Linked DNA regions of Neurospora crassa OR74A. The protein of the gene in region 1 purifies or fractionates together with the protein of each later gene. This does not show direct contact. Links are inferred from orthologs where the notes say so. Each region holds a gene or a part of one and is shown in the gene's direction. Other genes may lie near its edges. The genes, in order: NCU03838 and NCU11012.

What was found.
Region 2: the proteins of NCU03838 (region 1) and NCU11012 purify together in Saccharomyces cerevisiae (affinity purification with mass spectrometry, with the first as the bait; 3 studies listed by BioGRID). This does not show direct contact. The link is inferred for Neurospora crassa OR74A from reciprocal best matches to the Saccharomyces cerevisiae genes SPT4 and RPO26.

Annotation. Positions count from the first base shown.
Region 1 is NC_026505.1:2,568,044-2,577,267, forward strand, and holds NCU03838 (transcription elongation factor spt-4), read left to right. Parts: upstream 1-5,172; 5' UTR 5,173-5,515; coding exon 5,516-5,596; intron 5,597-5,673; coding exon 5,674-5,924; intron 5,925-6,014; coding exon 6,015-6,045; 3' UTR 6,046-6,365; downstream 6,366-9,224. Other genes in the region: NCU03835 (hypothetical protein), read left to right, coding at 188-504, 597-688, 772-835; NCU03836 (O-sialoglycoprotein endopeptidase, variant), read left to right, coding at 1,508-2,572; NCU03837 (Snf1 kinase complex beta-subunit Gal83), read right to left, coding at 2,927-2,974, 3,043-3,616, 3,694-4,517; NCU03839 (APF1), read right to left, coding at 6,538-7,716.
Region 2 is NC_026503.1:2,362,026-2,371,346, forward strand, and holds NCU11012 (DNA-directed RNA polymerase I), read left to right. Parts: upstream 1-5,144; 5' UTR 5,145-5,447; coding exon 5,448-5,491; intron 5,492-5,595; coding exon 5,596-5,877; intron 5,878-5,950; coding exon 5,951-6,070; intron 6,071-6,125; coding exon 6,126-6,162; 3' UTR 6,163-6,693; downstream 6,694-9,321. Other genes in the region: NCU00037 (polyadenylation factor subunit 2), read left to right, coding at 188-320, 402-517, 573-2,351; NCU00038 (C2H2 transcription factor), read right to left, coding at 3,163-3,217, 3,343-4,706; NCU00039 (hypothetical protein), read right to left, coding at 6,733-8,024, 8,097-8,673. UniProt on the Saccharomyces cerevisiae protein: DNA-dependent RNA polymerases catalyze the transcription of DNA into RNA using the four ribonucleoside triphosphates as substrates.

The DNA of each region.
Region 1 (9,224 bases):
AGCCCACAACAGCATTTCCCAAAGACTTGGAAAGGCGGAAGAAGAAGCGATGTCCAAAGAAGGTGGAAGACAGAATGGAGGTGTCGAGTGAACAGCTTTCCATGGGTGGTGGGTGGTCCTGTGGTGCAGAGTTCTGGTCAGCCTAGGTTCACCCACAACGGTACCGGACATATCAAGCCCACATCAGACGGGTTGTGCGAGACAAAAAGATGGCCAAAGCAGCATTCTGAAGTCAGACGAACGAGGAAAACACACCTCAAGAGGGAATATGGGTATCTCCATCCCCATAGACTTGGGGCGGTGCTGAATTCACGGCCTCCAATCCGGCCCAGACGGCCCCGTGAGCTCGAAAGCTTGCAAGAACCGAACAAGAAGCAGCCCGGCCATGTTCTGCCGAAGAAATGGCAGGCAAAGGATGGTGAAGACAAGGAAGAAGTCGGCTGGGCTGTTGAAAGAGGCAGGTCTGGCCGTGCGGTTGGGAGGTTTGGGTTTGGCGGCAACGAGGTGAGGTGTTGGGTGATACAGGCTCGGAGGATGGAAGATGGTTGGACGGCTGCGGACTCTCGCTTGGCTGGGAGAATTGATTCTCGGTGCAGTGGGGTCCCGTGCAGAGAGCCCCAAGCCCAGGCTCGGCAGACCCCGAACTGCTCGGAGCCTTTTTGCACTTCCACAGAGCAAGTCAAATCACGTAAGCTCATCTGCACATATTTGTTGCAATGGAACTGTTGGATCAGCTCATGGCGAAAAAGCTAGAAATAATCAAACTTCTAGTGTCTTTTACACAACTCATGCATCCATGGTCACAGTTTGCGCCGTTGCGGCTATATGTGGATAGAAATCGTTGCTACTACTAGCGCACGAGCCACGCTACGTGCCTGCCTTACATAACATTGCATTGCGCATCCAAAGCAACATAAAGGTCCCACTCGACTGTGCACAAGCGGCTGCGGGGACCCACATTTCATTGAACCCCTCATCGACTCCATGGAAGGCTCTGACGAAATCCCATTGCTGATTCCCATGGCGAGGCCGTTCCCTTGTTTTGAGAAGAACAACGGGCGAGAATGGCTTTAAAGCATCGTTACAAGTAGTGAACATGTCGACCGGTTTTAGGAGACGGGATACCGGCCCGCTGGGGGAATAAGTATGTACATCCTCTTTCATCTCGATCTCGAGTTTCGTCACCTTGATCACTACGGCGCGCCTAGCCTAGGTATTCACAGACGCGACGAAATTTTCCCCACTCTAAAAAGGTGCCCCTCCATTATCACTTTCTCCATCTGACATCTGGCATTGGATGTGGCACTGACAACATCCATCCATCCATCCTATTCAGTACGCGACGCGACGCCTATCAACAACCAAAGGATATCAAGGTCCTCGATAAACATCCCCAACGAAATATCCTTGCGAGTTATCTGATACGAAGCAACCGGCTCCCGATTCACCAAGTAACCGAAACCCTCTCCCTCCCTCGCTCTATCCAACAAAGCCCCAACAGCCAACAATGCCCGACGCCAAAGGCCGCCGCATCGCTCTCGGATGCGAAGGCTCCGCCAACAAGCTCGGCATCGGCATCATTGCGCACGACCCCATCACCGGCGAAGCCCTTGTCCTGTCCAACGTGCGCGACACCTTCGTCTCTCCTCCCGGCACCGGTTTCCTTCCCAAGGACACAGCCCGACACCACCGTGCCTACTTTGTGCGTGTAGCCAAGAAGGCGCTCGCCTTGTCGGGGGTCTCCATCTCGGAAATCGACTGCATCTGCTACACCAAGGGGCCCGGGATGGGCGGGCCCCTAACGTCGGTGGCCGTGGGCGCCCGCACACTCGCGCTGCTGTGGGGTAAAGAATTGGTGGGCGTGAACCACTGTGTCGGGCATATCGAGATGGGGCGGGCGATAACGGGGGCGTCGAACCCGGTGGTGCTGTACGTGAGCGGGGGTAATACGCAGGTGATTGCGTACGCGGAGCAGCGGTACCGTATCTTTGGCGAGACGCTGGATATTGCAGTGGGTAATTGCCTGGACCGGTTCGCGCGCACGCTGGAGATCAGCAACGACCCGGCGCCCGGGTACAATATTGAGCAGCTGGCCAAGCAAGGTGGGCGAGTCTTGTTGGACTTGCCGTATGCGGTCAAGGGAATGGATTGCTCGTTCAGCGGAATCCTGGGGCGGGCAGATGACTTGGCGGCGCAGATGAAGGCGGGCGAGCCGGGCCCCGACGGCGAACCGTTTACACCCGCAGATCTGTGCTTCAGCTTGCAGGAAACGGTATTTGCCATGCTTGTCGAGATCACCGAGCGGGCTATGGCGCACGTCGGTAGCAACCAGGTTCTTATTGTTGGCGGTGTCGGTTGCAACGAGCGGCTACAGGAGATGATGGGCGCGATGGCAGCGGAGCGAGGCGGAAGTGTCTACGCCACCGACGAGCGGTTCTGCATCGACAACGGCATCATGATTGCTCATGCTGGTCTATTGGCCTACGAGACGGGCTTCCGGACGCCGCTTGATGAAAGCACATGTACACAACGCTTCAGAACCGACGAAGTCTTCGTCAAGTGGAGGGACTAATGACAAGGAAGGAAACGAAGACGAAGATGACCATTACGACGATACCCCCAAATCCCATAACCTTTACTCTATCCACGGCAGCCACTCTATATGCGCCTCTTGTTGTCCCTTAGTGCCCCCTTAATGGAGCAGGATGCCCATGGACAGTTTGCCGACAACAATTTGCGCCCGCTTCCATAAAGTGTCCTCGTCATCGCTACAGCGTCCTATAGACATTACTTGTAGACATATCTAGAATAGGTCATACTGGGCGGTTCATCATGCACCGCTATTCTACTCATGACTTGCGCTGTTCGTCTAGTAGTGGTAGCCACCAGCCAACTGTACCCAGCTCTGACTACTAGCATTCCAAACTCAGATGCCCTCTGTCGTTGTTGGCTTGTACATGATTGTCGTCACATACTGTACAGTCCGTTAGCATCAACGACTACGTGCAAAAAGATGCAGCTACGAAATACGGGGAGACGAACCTTGTTCTTGTATCTCGTCGTGGCCGACACAGCCAGAATATTATTCTTAATACTGCTAGTAGCTAGATGGTTAAGAACGGTATGGTTGGGCATGTTCAGAACGCTGTTGTCATCCTTGATCAAGGTGGCCGCGTTGAGGATGGGCTTGCCGAGGAAGCCAGGAAGCGCAGGCGGCGTTGGGAGTTTCTCGATGGCGTTGACAGCACTCAGGTAAGGTGGACTTTCCTCGGGTGCGTCGAAGTCGAGTAGATATTGCGGGATCTTGTTCTCGAACAGCTCCGCCGGAGGGACAGGTCGGTCCCTAGGTGCCTTGCTTTCCTCCGTCTCGGACGCGGAGGTTTTGGGCTCCGTAGGTTGCTGGGAATCCTTGGCGGCGCTTGCAGCAGCTGCCTGGGCAGCGGTGCGCCCCACATCATCAGGGCTGACCTCGATGTAGTTGACCAGGTTGTTGCCAAAGTCTACCGTGGTCGGCAAGTCTGGCGAGGTCTGCATTTGCCCGTCAACCAGAAAGCGAACGTGATGTGTGCCCGGCAGGATATTGATAATAGCAGCGAATACACCCGGTCGGCCCTCACTGTTGGCGAGTAGCGGTGTCAGCAAGGCCCCATCCGTATTGAGAGCGAAAGTGGCCGGGATGTAGAAAGTACTTACACCGGGTGTAATCGTGTCTTCCTGTTCCATTGGAAGATGGTGCCTGTCACGTAAACCTTCTCGCCGCCACGGAGCCATTCGAGCCTGGTGGGGACAGTCGGTCTAGTCTTGTCCACCCGTAGCTCCTCCGTGTCTTCTTCGTCCAGAGTTGAGCTGTTACTCAAGTTGGAAGAGCGTCTGGTGAGCGCGGTGAAAGTGTCGGCATCCTCGAGTGGGACCCCAATGTCGGTCGGGGCAATGATAGGCGATCCGGGTGTGTGGACCTCTTCCTCGATCGGCAGAGGTAGTCGCGGCGGCCTGGTCAGGTACGAGACATCTTGCAGACTGCTCAGCTGCATAGCCGCAGTCTCAAAGGCATCCGATCTCTCTGATAGCGGTGATCGCACCGGCGACCTAGGTGAGCACGACGAGGCGTGGCAGGGTGTGGGCACGGCTACAGGTTTCGCGGGCTCATGACTGTCTTCGGGTCTCAGCTGTCTTACTTCGACAGGTTTGGTGGGGGTGGCAGAGCTGGTAGGCACCGACGAGCCCGGCGAGCCGCTCTGAGAAGGTGGCATTCGCGAGTGCAGCGACTTGGGACGAGCGGTGGTTGAGGGCGGCTGGACGGCGGTGCCCTGGGCCTGGGTCAAGGAGGGCTCAGGAGGGGCAGCGACTCGCTGATTTGGGACCGGTATAGGGTGCTTGGTATCGCGCTTCACTGCTCTGGCAGAGTCATTTTGGATGGAAGCCAGCGACTGGTGCTGAGACTGCGATTGAGAGGAGGAGGAGGAGGATTGCGGATTCGGGGTCTTGGAGTCTCTGGAGGTGGAGGGGTTGTTCCCCATTTTCCCTAGCTCGATCGCTGGCGCTGATGACGGGATGGGGTCGCCGTGGTGGTCGGGTCGGTCGAACGGGGTCGTCACAGGTGGTTCGCTGCTACCGCGGTCTGCTGCTGTTACTGCTACACCTGTTCAACAATGCGTCCACCGGGTGCAATCAATTCATCTTCCACTCTCCGGGGTAATTGGCCGAGTTCGGATAGAAGGTGGTTTGACAGTCGAGGGGCTTTGCATGCTACGCCAGCGCTGGTCGTGGCTGTGGTTGTGTGGTTTTTGGGAATTCGAACGACGTTGTCAGGTGTCGTGTCGTAATAGAGTTGGAGCAGGCAATATCGCAGCAAACTGGAAGATGTGATGATTCGAGTCGTGTCGAATCGAGGATGCGCGAAACAAGTGGAAGAAGTGGAAGTCGAGAGAATGACGGGTAGGTAGAGAGCTCAGTTCAGTTATCAGAGTATCACTGCAGCAGTTGACTGTCCTCCCTTGGGCCAAAAAGCACAGCTGCCATCCACCTGGTTGCTCGATAAGAAGCGGGCGACCACTGGCAACTGAATGGAACTCGGATGCAACGCCCCGGACTCGGCGAACAGAGTTGAACTGTGGATGAGTGTGAGACGGCGCCCAGCCCAACTGCACGGCAGTGTCTCCACTGTCCACCTCCAGGCATCGGCCCCAGCTTCCACTTCGGCCCCCACCTTTCCCACATTCTCTCCTGCTTCTCTAGCTCCTGGACCGTGCGCCCCTTGCATGTCAACTCCTGGCCCGCTGTGAGACCTGGAGCTTGCGCTGGCGCGACGCGGCAGGCAAGAGAGGCGGCCGATCTTCTTTCCAGAGAACAACTTATCGATGTTCACATGCATTCCTCTAAAGAACATCACCCTCCTTCGTCAAGTGTCCTTTTCCAGTTATTCATTCACTCGCTCAGCTATTCGTAGACGAGTGAGTTATCGGTTTCCGCCCCCAAAGTTACCAGTAACATCGCCATCCCTACACATCTCCCAAAAATGTCGGAGAACTACGTTGCCCCCGGCCAGCAGCGCTACCTTCGTGCCTGCATGGTCTGCTCTATCGTCATGACCTATGCTGTAAGTCGAGCTGCCCTTCCTCGTTTCTAGTCACTCTATGACCGACAAGTTTCTGACCTTTTTTGTTTTTGTCATAGCGCTTCCGTGACGAAGGATGCCCCAACTGCGAAGACTTCCTCCATCTCCAGGGCTCGCCGGATCAGATCGACAGCTGCACGTCGCAAGTCTTTGAAGGAATCATCACCATTGCCAACCCGCAGAAGTCGTGGGTGGCGAAGTGGCAGAGGCTGGACGGTTATGTGAAGGGTGTATACGCGACCAAGGTGTCGGGCCAGTTGCCGGATGACGTGCGCACCACGTTGGAGGATGACGGCATTCAGTATATCCCGTAAGTTTCCTGCTTACACTCGTGTGGTCTGGCGAAGCAGGCTATGATCGTGGGGTTTTCGGGGCACAGCCAGAAACTAACTTGGAGCAGGCGCGATGGCAGTGCGACGGAAGCGGACTAGAAACTCGAAGCTGCGGTGCAAGAAAACAAGACGGAATAGGGCGGATAAGAAAGCAGGAAAGAGAACCGACAAGCAAGAAGGAAGAGGGACCGATAATAGATCGTTCACAGACAACCCAGGAGCGGAATGCGGAATGCCTGTTAAAGGGAAGGCAACAGGAGTTCAAGGCGTTAAGGCTGGTTTAAAGGGCGTGGTCTAGACAGCAGGATAGTGGCCATTTTTTGGGTTTTGCATGATCAACCCAGGGCTATAATTACACACTGCAGCGAAATACAACAATCATACAAATGAGTTTATCACTACCTAACCTATATGGAAGATTATTCATCCAGCTACGGATCCCTTTTACGAAAACCCCAATGCAATATGGTATCTTTTTTTTAAACATTTCCCATCACGCCGAAAACGCCCCTATAACATGTACCGAAATATTGCCAAACCCGGAGATAGCATAACCTTTGACCAGTTACCCACGTGAGACTCCACAGTATGTTAAAACTGGAAGCGTGGCTTCTTGTTGGGAAAGTTCCCACCCTTCTCCTCGCGAGCCCTCTTGCGCTCCAACTCCTCCTTCATTATCCTCTCGGCCTCGCTCATCTTCTTGGGCGGAGCAGCCATAACCTTCTTGGGAGCCCCAGCAAACGCATTCTTGAAGACGTTCTTCGGTTGGGGCTTCATGCCGAACTTCATAGATACCGGCTTCGTGGCGGGAGCAGCGGCAGCAGCAGGACCAGCAGGACCAGCAGTCGAGTCAACCGCGGGTTTGCTTTCCTCTGCCGTCGTCTTGGCAGTGGCCTCTTCGCCCTTTGAACTTGCTTCCACCTTTGCTTGCTCAGAGCTTACACCGTCCGTCGTCGTCTTCGTTATTGTCGAAGGTGGCGTCACGGTATCCTTCTTCTCCTCCGCAGCAGGAGGAACCGATCCGTCCCCAGCACCCGGTGTTGGCATTGCCGCCGCCGATGTCGAACCCTTCTCACCCTCACCCGACCCCGACCCGGGCTCCTCTTTCTTTGTTGTGGCCGATTTTCCAAAACTCAACTTAATCTTCTCCCCCTCCCTCCTCTTCAACTCCTTCCTCTCCTCCTCCTCCGCATCAAAGCTAACCCCCCTCGCCTCGGCATCCTTTTGCGCTCTCTTAATTTGCTCCCTCAAAGCCCTTTGCTCCCTCTCCTCATCCCCCTTATCCATCATCTCCTTCCTCCTGACCTTCTCCCTCCTCTCCATCGCCTCGGGAGAATCATCAATCCACGCCACAAACAACCCCTCCCCCTCCTTCTCCTCCACCCTACACAACCCTTCCCTGCCCAAAAACTTTGCAAACTCTGTGAGGGAATGCCACTTGGTCGCGTTGAGATGCACGTGGTCCTTGCGCGCAATCACCTCCTGGTAAAATTTATTGATGTGGATCTCCTTCTCGCCATGGCTGGTCTTCAGCTGCGCGATGAAATCCTTGAGGAACTGGTCGGAAAAGGTGTCTTGCACGCCCTTGAAGTTGGCGCCCGCCTCGAGCGCTTTGGCCGTGTGCGAGGGCGACTGGCAGTGCATCTTGTACCCGTTCTCGTCGCGGCAGGATTTCTCGCACAGTTGGCAGTACCAGCGCAGCCGGTTGAGGCCGCGGGATTTCATCTTGTTGGCCAGATATTTGGCGGAGCCGACTTCTGCTTTGGGCATCGTGAATGGGTAATTACGGACTCCGCTGCGCGCGAGTCGGGGCGGGTGGGGGAGGTGATTGGTTGTATGTGTTTTGTTTTCGGAGGGTGTCGCTCGGTACAGTACAGGACGATGCGGCGGATGACGGTTTGGAAGTTGCGTTGGGTCAAGATTAACTATGTGACGGAGATGGTGAGTGAGTAGTGTTGGATGACTTGGAGCAAAAATCGTGGTGTTTCGCTCTTCGACCACCTTGCGTTGTTGTTGGAAAGTTGATGTTCTGCAACGGGTAAAGGTTCGAGTGTAGGCCCCGATTGCCAGCCGCCACACAAATGTTACATGCCGAATGCCAAGCATTTGAAGCGATCAACCAACAACCCTAACCCAGACATGCTTCCCATTTGGTCGAGGATCACCCCTTTTCGCTTTGTTTACACAAAGGAATCTGATTCCCAACGGGGTATTTTTGATGCTACGGATGACACTGTGCCTCGGAAATTGTGTTTCGGCCGCTTACGGAGAGGTCTGCCATACAACGGACTTGGTCTGCGCTGTGATAGAGTATATGCCCGGCTTGCTCGAGGTTTACACTTTTCTGTACTCTTCGACGACGTCTTTTTTCTTTTTTCCTCTTTTTTTATTGGTTTTCTCTCGGACACTCCGGTTGACCAGGATCGCGATCCCCACTTTCACCTTTATGCAAAGGTATTTCTGGTTATCAATTGGTGCTATGCTTATCGTTCACTCTCTCGGTTACAATGACTGAGTTTCCTCGCACATTCGTACCTTCTTACGACCACGCTTCTTCATTTCTTGTAACGGATCCATCAACTGTCGACGATCTTTCAGCAGTATTTACACAGTTACAGTTATGTTGACAGCAAACTACAGCTGACATATGATGAGTATCCAAAAACAACAGCCACCCCATCAAACCGAGATTTCCCGCATTCACCCAAAAGCAAAAAGACATCAAACGCAAAAAAGCCACAAAAAAAGACACCATCGGTCGAAACGGACGCGTTTGGGTATCAAATTGACAAAAACAAAAGAAGGCAATGAGTATATACAAGAAAAACCAGAACATGATTGTACCGTAAGTGAAATGACATATTGATGTCGTATGAAGACCAAAGGCGATCGCTCTGTAACTCCAAAAACCGCCAGATAGAAGAGAAGTTGCGCTCAAACTCTCATGTTGAAAATGGCATGGTTTCTGATTCTCGGACGATGGTTATATGTCCCGTGTAATATAGAATGCCGTGGGTCCAAATAAAGCGTATTAATCGGCATGGATAACAACAAAAGGCTGATATACGTACTGCATAGTAGTATATAGGCGATGATGTCATAATGCAAGATCGGCATCCGGGATTCGAAGTTGTTCGTGCTGCTCGGTGACTGACGCATTGAGCCAGGTTTCTGGAAGGTTCAGTCTGTTGGCATATCCCTGCGATGGCACGGTGCTTGATCGTGCCTGGCTCCAGTGGTGATGAGCATCCTCAACGGCTTTCTCTCTGACATCTGGA
Region 2 (9,321 bases), on another chromosome or scaffold:
AAATAGAGGCAGACGTAAGTTCATGCTGCGGCTACGACCAAACTCTACCTCTAGCGAATATACCGTGTACACAGTCCATGTCGCCAGGCATTATCTATCACAATGTTCTGTCCATCAATCATGACGGCGTCCCAGGTGACAACAGTTATCCGTTTGCTCCGTGATGGCGTAGCTTTTGTTGCCGACCATGGCCTGGACATCACCGACGACAATACAATCGATCACGTTGACACTCGCCCTCCTCACTTTATCCTCACTTCTCGTTCACCCGTTCCTGCTTAGCACCGCCATCATCTCACATCACCATCTCTGGCTGTTCTGTGGGATTCTTTTCTTCACCCAACTCAATAGCACCTGTTTTTCACTCGCCGATGGACAACGAAGACTGACCCTAGACTCAGGCCCCGTCACCGACTATGGTGCTTCAGTAGTTCACTACATGCGCCACAGGCAACCGAGATACCGGGGATCGTATGCTGGTGAAGTTGAAAGGCCCAGCCCGAGTTACATTGTTGATGTAAGGACAAATGCAAGCCATCAACCCGCCGCATTGATACTAAAACTTGGTACAGATGTTACCACCATACGCCCGAGTCACCAATCCAGCAGACTCCGTACCATCAAGGCATCTTCACTCTTCCCTCAACAAAATCAAACACCCCATCAATGTGGTACGATGGACGCCAGAAGGACGAAGGCTGTTAACGGCCAGTAGCAGTGGAGAGTTTACGCTCTGGAACGGCACAGGATTCAATTTCGAAACGATCATGCAAGCCCACGATTCCGCCATTCGTGCTCTAGTATATTCGCACAGCGACGACTGGCTCGTCTCAGCCGATCATGACGGTATCATCAAATATTGGCAGCCAAACTTCAACAATGTCGAGAGCATTAGGGGCCATACTGATCCCATCCGCGACCTTGCCTTCAGCCCCAACGACACCAAATTTGTCACGGCTTCAGATGATCAGACACTCAAAGTCTTTGACTTTGCTGGCGGCTCAACGGACATGACTCTGACAGGGCACGGATGGGACGCAAAGAGTTGCGATTGGCATCCCAGCAGAGGCCTGATTGTCTCTGGTTCGAAAGATCATCTGGTCAAGCTGTGGGATCCAAGGACGGGTAGATGCCTGACCACGCTTCATGGGCACAAAAACACCATCACCAAAACGCTCTTCGAGAGAGTACAGGGAAACTGTTTGGCAACATCAGCTAGAGATCAGACAGCTCGCGTGTTCGACCTTCGAATGATGCGAGACATCGCCCTCCTCAGGGGCCACGAAAAGGACATATCGACATTGACGTGGCACCCAGTCCACTCCAACCTCCTAAGCACCGGCGGCTCGGACGGCTCGCTATTCCACTACCTCTTGGACGAGCCGAACACCGCGCCCGACGGCTCAGTCATGCCGATCCCGGCAGTTTACGACACCGCCGATCCTTCGTCCGCACCTGCCCAACCCATCTACCCAGCCCACAAGATCCCCTATGCCCACGACTTCGCCATCTGGTCGCTCGACTGGCACCCGCTCGGCCACATCCTCGCCTCGGGATCCAACGATCGCATCACACGTTTCTGGTCTCGCGCAAGACCTGGCGAGGCTCCCGAGTCCTTCAACGACCGGTATCACATCGGCGAGGCAGCAGCCGAAGCTCAAGGCACCTGGGATCGCCGCGGCGGCCGTCACATGCGGCAAGTCGAGGAGGAGCAGGAGCTGGAGGACGAGATGGACGGCCTGGTGGATCAAAAGATGCCCATCAAGGGGCAGCCCGGCGTTGGCGGCGGCGGAATGATGCCTGGTCTTTCCTTCCCCAGCATTCCCGGCCTTCCTCTCCAGCAGGTTCCCAGCTCTGGCCCTGGCGGCAGCGGTTTTATACCGCCACCACCCATCATCCCCGGCGTCGGCGGTGCCACCGGTGTCCCGCCTCCTCTCCCCTTCCCTATCCCCGGCATGCCCGGTCTGCCTGCCGGTGTCGTCCCGCCGCCCCTTCCGGGTTTAGATCTGAAGAACCCGCCCGACTTTAGCGCGCTCGCTGAAATGATGAAGAAGGCCGGTTATCAACCGCCGCCGCCGCCAGGCTCGGCTGGCGCACCGATGCCCCCTCCCGGCATCCTGCCCCCTGGCCTAATCCCCCCGCCGGGCGCGGCGGGCTTCCCTATGCCCCCTCCTGGGTTTGCGCCTCCGCCGCTGATTCCTGGTGCTGGTGGTCCGCCGGGAGGAGCCACTCACCCCGATGGTGGGAATGATCAGTATGATTCGTCAGGGAGGAGACGCGCGCCGTTGCCTAGTCAGGAGGAGAGTCTTAGGATGGAGCAGAGCAAGGGCAATTATACGCGCGTGAGATAGGATAGAGATTGTGGAGGAGACAAATTTTGCTTTTGATATATTTGCTTTTGTTAGCCATGCTGCACAAAGTCAATGGGGGTGGTGCTTGATCACATAATGCTGAGAACTTTTCTTCCGGGCAGTGTATGTGTCGGGAAATCAAGTGTGGCGGTAGTCCTGGAATGACACATGAAGAAGGAAATCATAGGGTGAGAGAAACATCCAAAGGGACAAGAAAAGAATATTACGATAAGACTACTATATGTTCGTGAATGATAGCGAACAAGGGAGTCTTGCTGAGAGCACGGTGAGTTAACCACAACCGGTATTATATGTCTACTCCGTCCAAACGCCGTAACCGTACAAGTAAGCCATCTCCATTCCTCCACGCGGTCTACATACTGTCAAAGCCACATAACAAAAGGGTATCAATATTTCCGTGAACCTTCCCATCTTTTTTCCGTTTTGTTTTCAGCAATGCAACATCATACAGTCGACAATTCCCCCATTGTGAACCATGAACCCGTATTACTGCATCATCTATGCTCTAGCAAACTGCGGGTCCGAACCCTCACCATCTTGGCCCATCAACAGCTGCATGTCGGCAGCCCAGTCTTCAAAGACAGGCGACTGGTGTTGCAGTGAGAACGGATCTCCATGATCACTAAGCCAGAAAGGCGCAGCGCCGAGATTTCCGCCATCGCTAACTGGAGCATTCGTGAATTGCTCCATTTGAGGGGGAGGGGTAGCGCCAGCTGAGGTGAATGCGGAGTGGACATCTCCTTGCTGATGCTGGGGTTCTAGACTAGGATCGATGACATATCCTAAGTCGTCAACGCTCAAGTTGGCAGCACTCGGAAATGGTACCATAGCTGCCTGTTCCTCGCCTGTATGCAATTGAGGTAGGAGCAGCAACTGTTGCTCCTCTTCTTTGATACCATTGTTGCCATGGTCATTTTGGATATGTCTATCCAGATCAGCATGACGGATGAAGCGAGCGGTGCATCCGTACGCAGGGCAAGCAAGGTCACGAGTGTCCAGCAAAGCCTGTTGAGCTTGCTGAGCCTGGGCGACCATGGAAGGGACGGGATACAGCTTGGGTGGACGCTTCTTCCCAAGATGAACATGAAGAACATGCTCCTCCAGCTTGACCCTGGTGGTAAATCCCTGGCCACAACCCTCTTCCGCGAAGTTCCAGTCCGCAATCTCCGAAACCTTGGCATCGTAAGTATCGGTCTGTCCGCAGACGAAACGATGGCCTTCATGGGCAGACTTGATGTGCGTGTTGAGATTGGAGACACGCGTGAACTTTTTGTCACAGCCCTCCCACGTGCAAGCAATCGTCTTTCGATCTTCGACTGTCTTGGCTGAGTGGTAGAGCTCAACGTGACGCATCATGTTGCTTTGTGTACCGCATCTGACACCGCAGAAGGCGCAGTTGTTGTGCTCCTTCTTCATATGGGCTTGAAGCAGCAGCATCGTGGTAAATCCAACACGGCGACCTCCACTGTCATCACCCTCTCCTTCAGCGTTGCATTCGTCGCACCAAAACTTCAGGTCACCGTGCTCGCGCTCTACGTGCCTTCGCAAGGCACTTGCAGTGTCGAAGCCGGCGTCACACCCGTCGTTACCGCATGGATATGCCGACTTGCCTAGATGAACGGTTCGGATGTGTCTCTGGAGCGTTTGGTGCTTGCGGAAGCTCTGGACACAGTCCCCATAGCCGCGGCAGCGGTAGCGATCGGCGCCCTCGTGAACCAGAGCATGGCGGCGAAGTCGTGTATTAGTGACAAAGGACTTTCCGCAACCGGGCTCGGGGCATGTGTACTTTCGATCGTTGGTATGAGATCCCTTGATGTGCTGGGAGAGGTGCTTCTCTTCGAGGTAGTCTTTGTCGCAGTCATCGTAGGGGCACTTGAACGGGCGATCGTTTGTGTGAGATCGGAGGTGGGCAGCCAGACGAGCAGGGCGGTTGAAGGTCTTGGTGCAACCGGCGAATGTGCACCTGATGGTCTTGAGATCGGAGGGGAAGCGGCGTGAAGCACGAGTCGTGGTAGTGTTGATACTAGTTGCTGCTACCGTAGTCGTCGGATCGGCGTGGGTAAGGGAGGTGTTGGCAACCGAGGCAACAGAGGCCGAGTCAGGGTCGAGTTCGAGGCTGTCGTTGCCGTTGCCATCAGAAGCTGCCGCCTCTGCGCCAGCAGGTGGCGATCGCGATTGCGAGGGTAGGGCCGGTGCCTCGAGCTGCTCTACTTGTGAGAGTTCCTCCTCCTGCTGCTGCTGGACCCAATCAGTAGCTCTTTTCTTGGATTGGACTTGAGCATGGTCGGGGCCGTCATGGCCATCAAGGCGCTCGTCGTCCTGTTTCCGCTTCATTTTGAGGCCTGGAGTAGCAGCACTGGTCGCCGTGGCCTGCTACCCTGGACTTGGTTGGAGCTTCGACATTGGAGAGAGGGAGCTCCACGCTTTTTGGGAAATTCGCTTGGATGGATTTTTTTTTTGGAGGTTCACATTTGTGACGGAACCTTTGCATTGCACCTGCCGATTGGACTTTTCGTCCGGGGTGGGTGTCCCTGCCGCTTCAAAAAGTTTATCTGACGTTTTCCGGTTCCAGCACCGGCAGGCAATTTTACGAGCGAGTGAAATTCGGGGGACCTGGAGGAAGGGAACCCATGAAGAAGCTGATGGCCCATCCATTGGCCCCACCCCTGTGACCCACTTCTCTGGTGTCACGTGCATTGGGCATTCTTAGCCTATTTAAGTTAGCTAGGTGGGGGCTTCTCAGATCCCTCCCCTCTTCTACTCTTTAGACTACTTTGGACGAATGAGACATCATCACTTCTTACCCCCCATGTCTCTTTAAGGTTTTATGTCTTGGCACGGCTCAGCCTTGCATAAAGTAGCGGCCCCACTCGAATTTTCTGTCGTCCTTTTGTCAGCCCTTCGCCCTTCCCTCACCACCTTGCGCATCCACGGTCGGCCAAACACGTCCAGTCTTCCACATCCACGCGTTTTGGGCAATACCATTTTGTCCACATACCTACCTCTACTTGTGCAGCTGCAGCCCATATCTTATTATCCTTACCATCAATCAACTCCTAAACAAACCCACCAAAAATGTCCGACTACGGTGACCACGGTGACGATGATCGCGAGCCTATGTAGGTTTCCAACGCCACCTACCCACCTAGTCCTTGGCATCAACCTCTACACATGATACCGCAACTCATGCGTAACGCAAGAGATGCTAACACGTAGCCGCCAGCGACGAGCCCGCCTTCGATGAGGACCCGGATGAGTACTACGAGCCCGAACCCGAGCCCGCGGACGACGACGTAGCGGGCAGACCCGGCGACGAAGTCGACGAGGCCGAAAACGATAACAACATAGTCACTTCGGGTGACCCTAACGCGGCCGCCAACGCTGGCAAGGGCAACGAGAAATCCCACAAGGACAAGAAGATTCCCAACGACCAGCGTTCCACGACACCTTACATGACCAAGTACGAGAAAGCTCGTATCCTCGGCACACGTGCTCTGCAAATCAGGTGGGTTTCCTCATCGGTGGCGCTTGGACGACTGTAGGGACGGATTTGGGCTGACAAGGAACCACCTTTGTAGCATGAACGCGCCAGTGCTGGTTGATCTCGAGGGTGAGACGGATCCTCTTCAAATCGCCATCAAGGAGCTGCGCGAGAAGAAGATTCCTCTGATTGTCCGTCGTTACATGCCTGATGGATAGTAAGTTGTCCTTTTCCCGGCACCTAGCCGAATACCCGCTAACATCCCTACGTAGCTACGAGGACTGGACCTGCGAGGAGCTCCTGCAGTAAACGGAAACCTACAAGACCCGTCAGGGGTAATAGGGGCGACCCAGTCTTTGGTCAGAAAATACACAAAATTGCATTAGCGAGGGCGTTCAGGTTGAAGTTTTATACATCATATTTGATCATTTTGGGACGGTTGGACTCGATCCAAAGGGCAACAACAAGAGCACAATGTGCTCCTCGAGTTGAATAAAGGGCCCATTCAAAAATTCACGTGCGTCTGATCAGTCATTGTCCTGTACGTTCGTGCTATTGTTCAACAGGCCTGGGCATATGAGGTATCAAGAGCCTTGTTTACGCCGCACTTTTCATGCTGATATCTGCTTAGATTTCCTGTCGCTATTTGATAGCGAATATTCAGATCAATTAGTATGTCAATTATACAGAAAAGGAATAGAGTATAACACTCATACAAAATTACCTACTTGAGAATCGAAGAACAGCGTTCGTGTCAAGCTTACCGCCATCCCTATCACCACGCATGTCCAGCAACATCCTTATGAACACCAGTTCTCCCAAGCTTCCCTTCCTTTCCTTCTGCGTCCCAGCACCACACACGGCTCAGCAGTCAGCACCTCACCAAGGCCCCGTCCCCCAAACCTTACACTTCGCTCCCGCATTCTTCCCCCAATTCGCCAACGTACAATCCGCATACTGCTCCTTACACTTCAGCACCGCCCCCGCGTACGAGGTCGAATCATCCTTGCCGTACTTTCCTTCCTTGCACCCCTTGGCGTACACATCCACACAATCATCGTACTGCTCCTGGCACGCATCCAGACAGGCTGTCGAGAACGACGAGCGAGCGTATGACTTGCACTTGCTCGAGTCCGAGTCCGTGTACAGCTTGAAGGGGTGACCGGACGAGAAAGAGGAGAGAAGGTCGTTGCAGGTTACTACGGGGAGAGGGATCCCGCCTACGGGGGGTTTGTTGCTTTTGGGGGGGTTGCAGAGGGAGGTGGATGTTGGGATTGGGCATTTGGTGCCGGTGGTGGTGGTGCTGGTTGTGAATGTGGCCGCTTTGGTGGACGTTGGAACGGAAGTAGATGTCGGCTTGCCAGTGCTAACAGGGAGACAAGGAACCGTAATCACCGTCGTTGTCGGAACACCAGGTCCGGTAAGGGAGGGCGACGAAGGCGGCTTGTGATTCCAGAAATCCTTCTTGGAGCAGATGCCCCCCGGTTTGCTTGATCCCTTGCAGTAGGTGCTCAGGGCCGAGCACCACTCGGCAAAACCGAAGCAGTCGAGCGCCCCCGGCCATCCGGCTTGCTTGAAACAGGCGGATACTTGGAGGAAGCAGTTGGCGTGGCTGGGGAAGCAGGATTGGGGGGAGTCCCAGTCCGGCAAAGGGGAGGAACACCATTTGCCGCACTTGTACTCGCAGGTGGGCGGGAGAGTGACTGTTTCTTTGCAGATGGAGGAGGAGGAGGTGGTGGTGGTGGTGGTGGACGTGGTTGTTAAGGTAGTGGTAGGGGGTGGCGAAGTGGTGGTGGCTAGGGTGGTGGCTAGGGTGGTGGAAGTGATGGAAGTGGTGGAAGTGGTGGTGGTTGAGCTGAGGACATAAGAAGTAGTAGTCGAAGAGGGTACGTCAGAAGTCGTCGCCGTCGAGCTGGTTATGTCGGAGGTAGATTGCGAAGAAGCAACTGGAGTTGTTGATGAGGATGCTGTGACGGAAGAGCTGCTACTACTTTCTGGGGGAGGCACGTAACCACAAGGTTCGAGTGACTGAAGCTCGTTGGCGACGTAGAGGTTGAGACGAGCACGTCCGCCGCAAATCTGCGTGGAGTTTCCGTTGCAAGGGATATCGCACTCGCTATCAGGGGCGGAGAAGGTTCCGTTGCCTATGACAACACCGCACCAACACTCGCCTAGGGGTGGGTTAGGAAGTCAGCATCCAGTGCTCTCATTCACACCACATCAAGTAACAAGTTGCTACTTACCGCCAAACTCAGTCCCGGCAAACGGATACCCCCCATCCCGACAAGCTTGCAAGCACTTCTCCGTCGTCAAGGTAGACCCTTCAAGCTGATCCTGGGGATAAGCCAACGCCCTTCCGTACTCGGAATCATCAGTCCAACATCCCAAATGGTCATAATCCGCAACCGTGACCTCATCAACCGGCAAGAAAGTGGGATCCTGGTAGACGGATATGATATCAGTGCCTCCACAGACCTGCGAGGAGTTGCCGGTGCAAGGGTAGTTGCATTGCTCCTCGTCAATCTGCTGGCCGCTGACGGTGTTGCCGCAGTAGCACACGCCGTAGTACTCTAGACCTGCGTAACGAAAGCCATTACCCTTGCAGACAGAGACGCATTTCTCGATGGTCATGTCCTGCTGGTTGAGCTGGCTGCGCAGGCTGAGGGCGTGAGGGTTGCCGGTGTCGGCGTAGCAGCCGGAGTAGATGAAAGGCTGGAAGGGGTCAAGGCAGGGAGGGAGTTCGATGGTTGTTGCACGGACACCAACGTGGACTAGGGCGATGGCTGCTAGCGCTGCAGCTCGAAGGGTGAGCGAAGCCATGGTGGTGACGATTTGAATACCGTGAGAATCCCTTGGGATGGTTGGAGTGCTGCCGGGGGAAGAAGTTCAGATGCTGAGCAGCAAGAAGCAGGTTGTCTTATATGAGAACCATGGCACTGAAGCGGTCATGGTGCGAAGAAGTCAATGCGGTATACATTCTACAAATTGCTCAGAAGCAGATGGTGTATTGAGCTCACTGACGTCCAGTCTGGAATAAACACAACGACGCCACATCACGCTGGACATCCGGTCACCGAAGCCTTTCGGACCCAAATATCGAAAGAACAGTGATATCCAATTTCTTGCTCTCGGCAAAACCCTACTACATACTTTTCCTGTCAAGGTACCTACCTGCAGCTTTAGTGGTATGGGGACTTGGATGATGGGCCATCAAACAATTGAGTACCCCATCACAATATATGAGGGTAGCAAGCTGAAGAGAAGAGTCGAAGGGACTGGTGCTCACTGAGTTTTCAACGTGTAGGAGGGAGACTTCAACGCCATGGCGTTGTAGTAAGACAATGGCTAAGTGACTAGGCTGAGGAAACAGGTCCGAGGTTGCTGGAAATGAAGCGTTGTTCCGATATATGTATAATGAAGTCCTCGTGTTGAACTCAGTGTAAGCCCATGGCGTAGGCCATCACACTG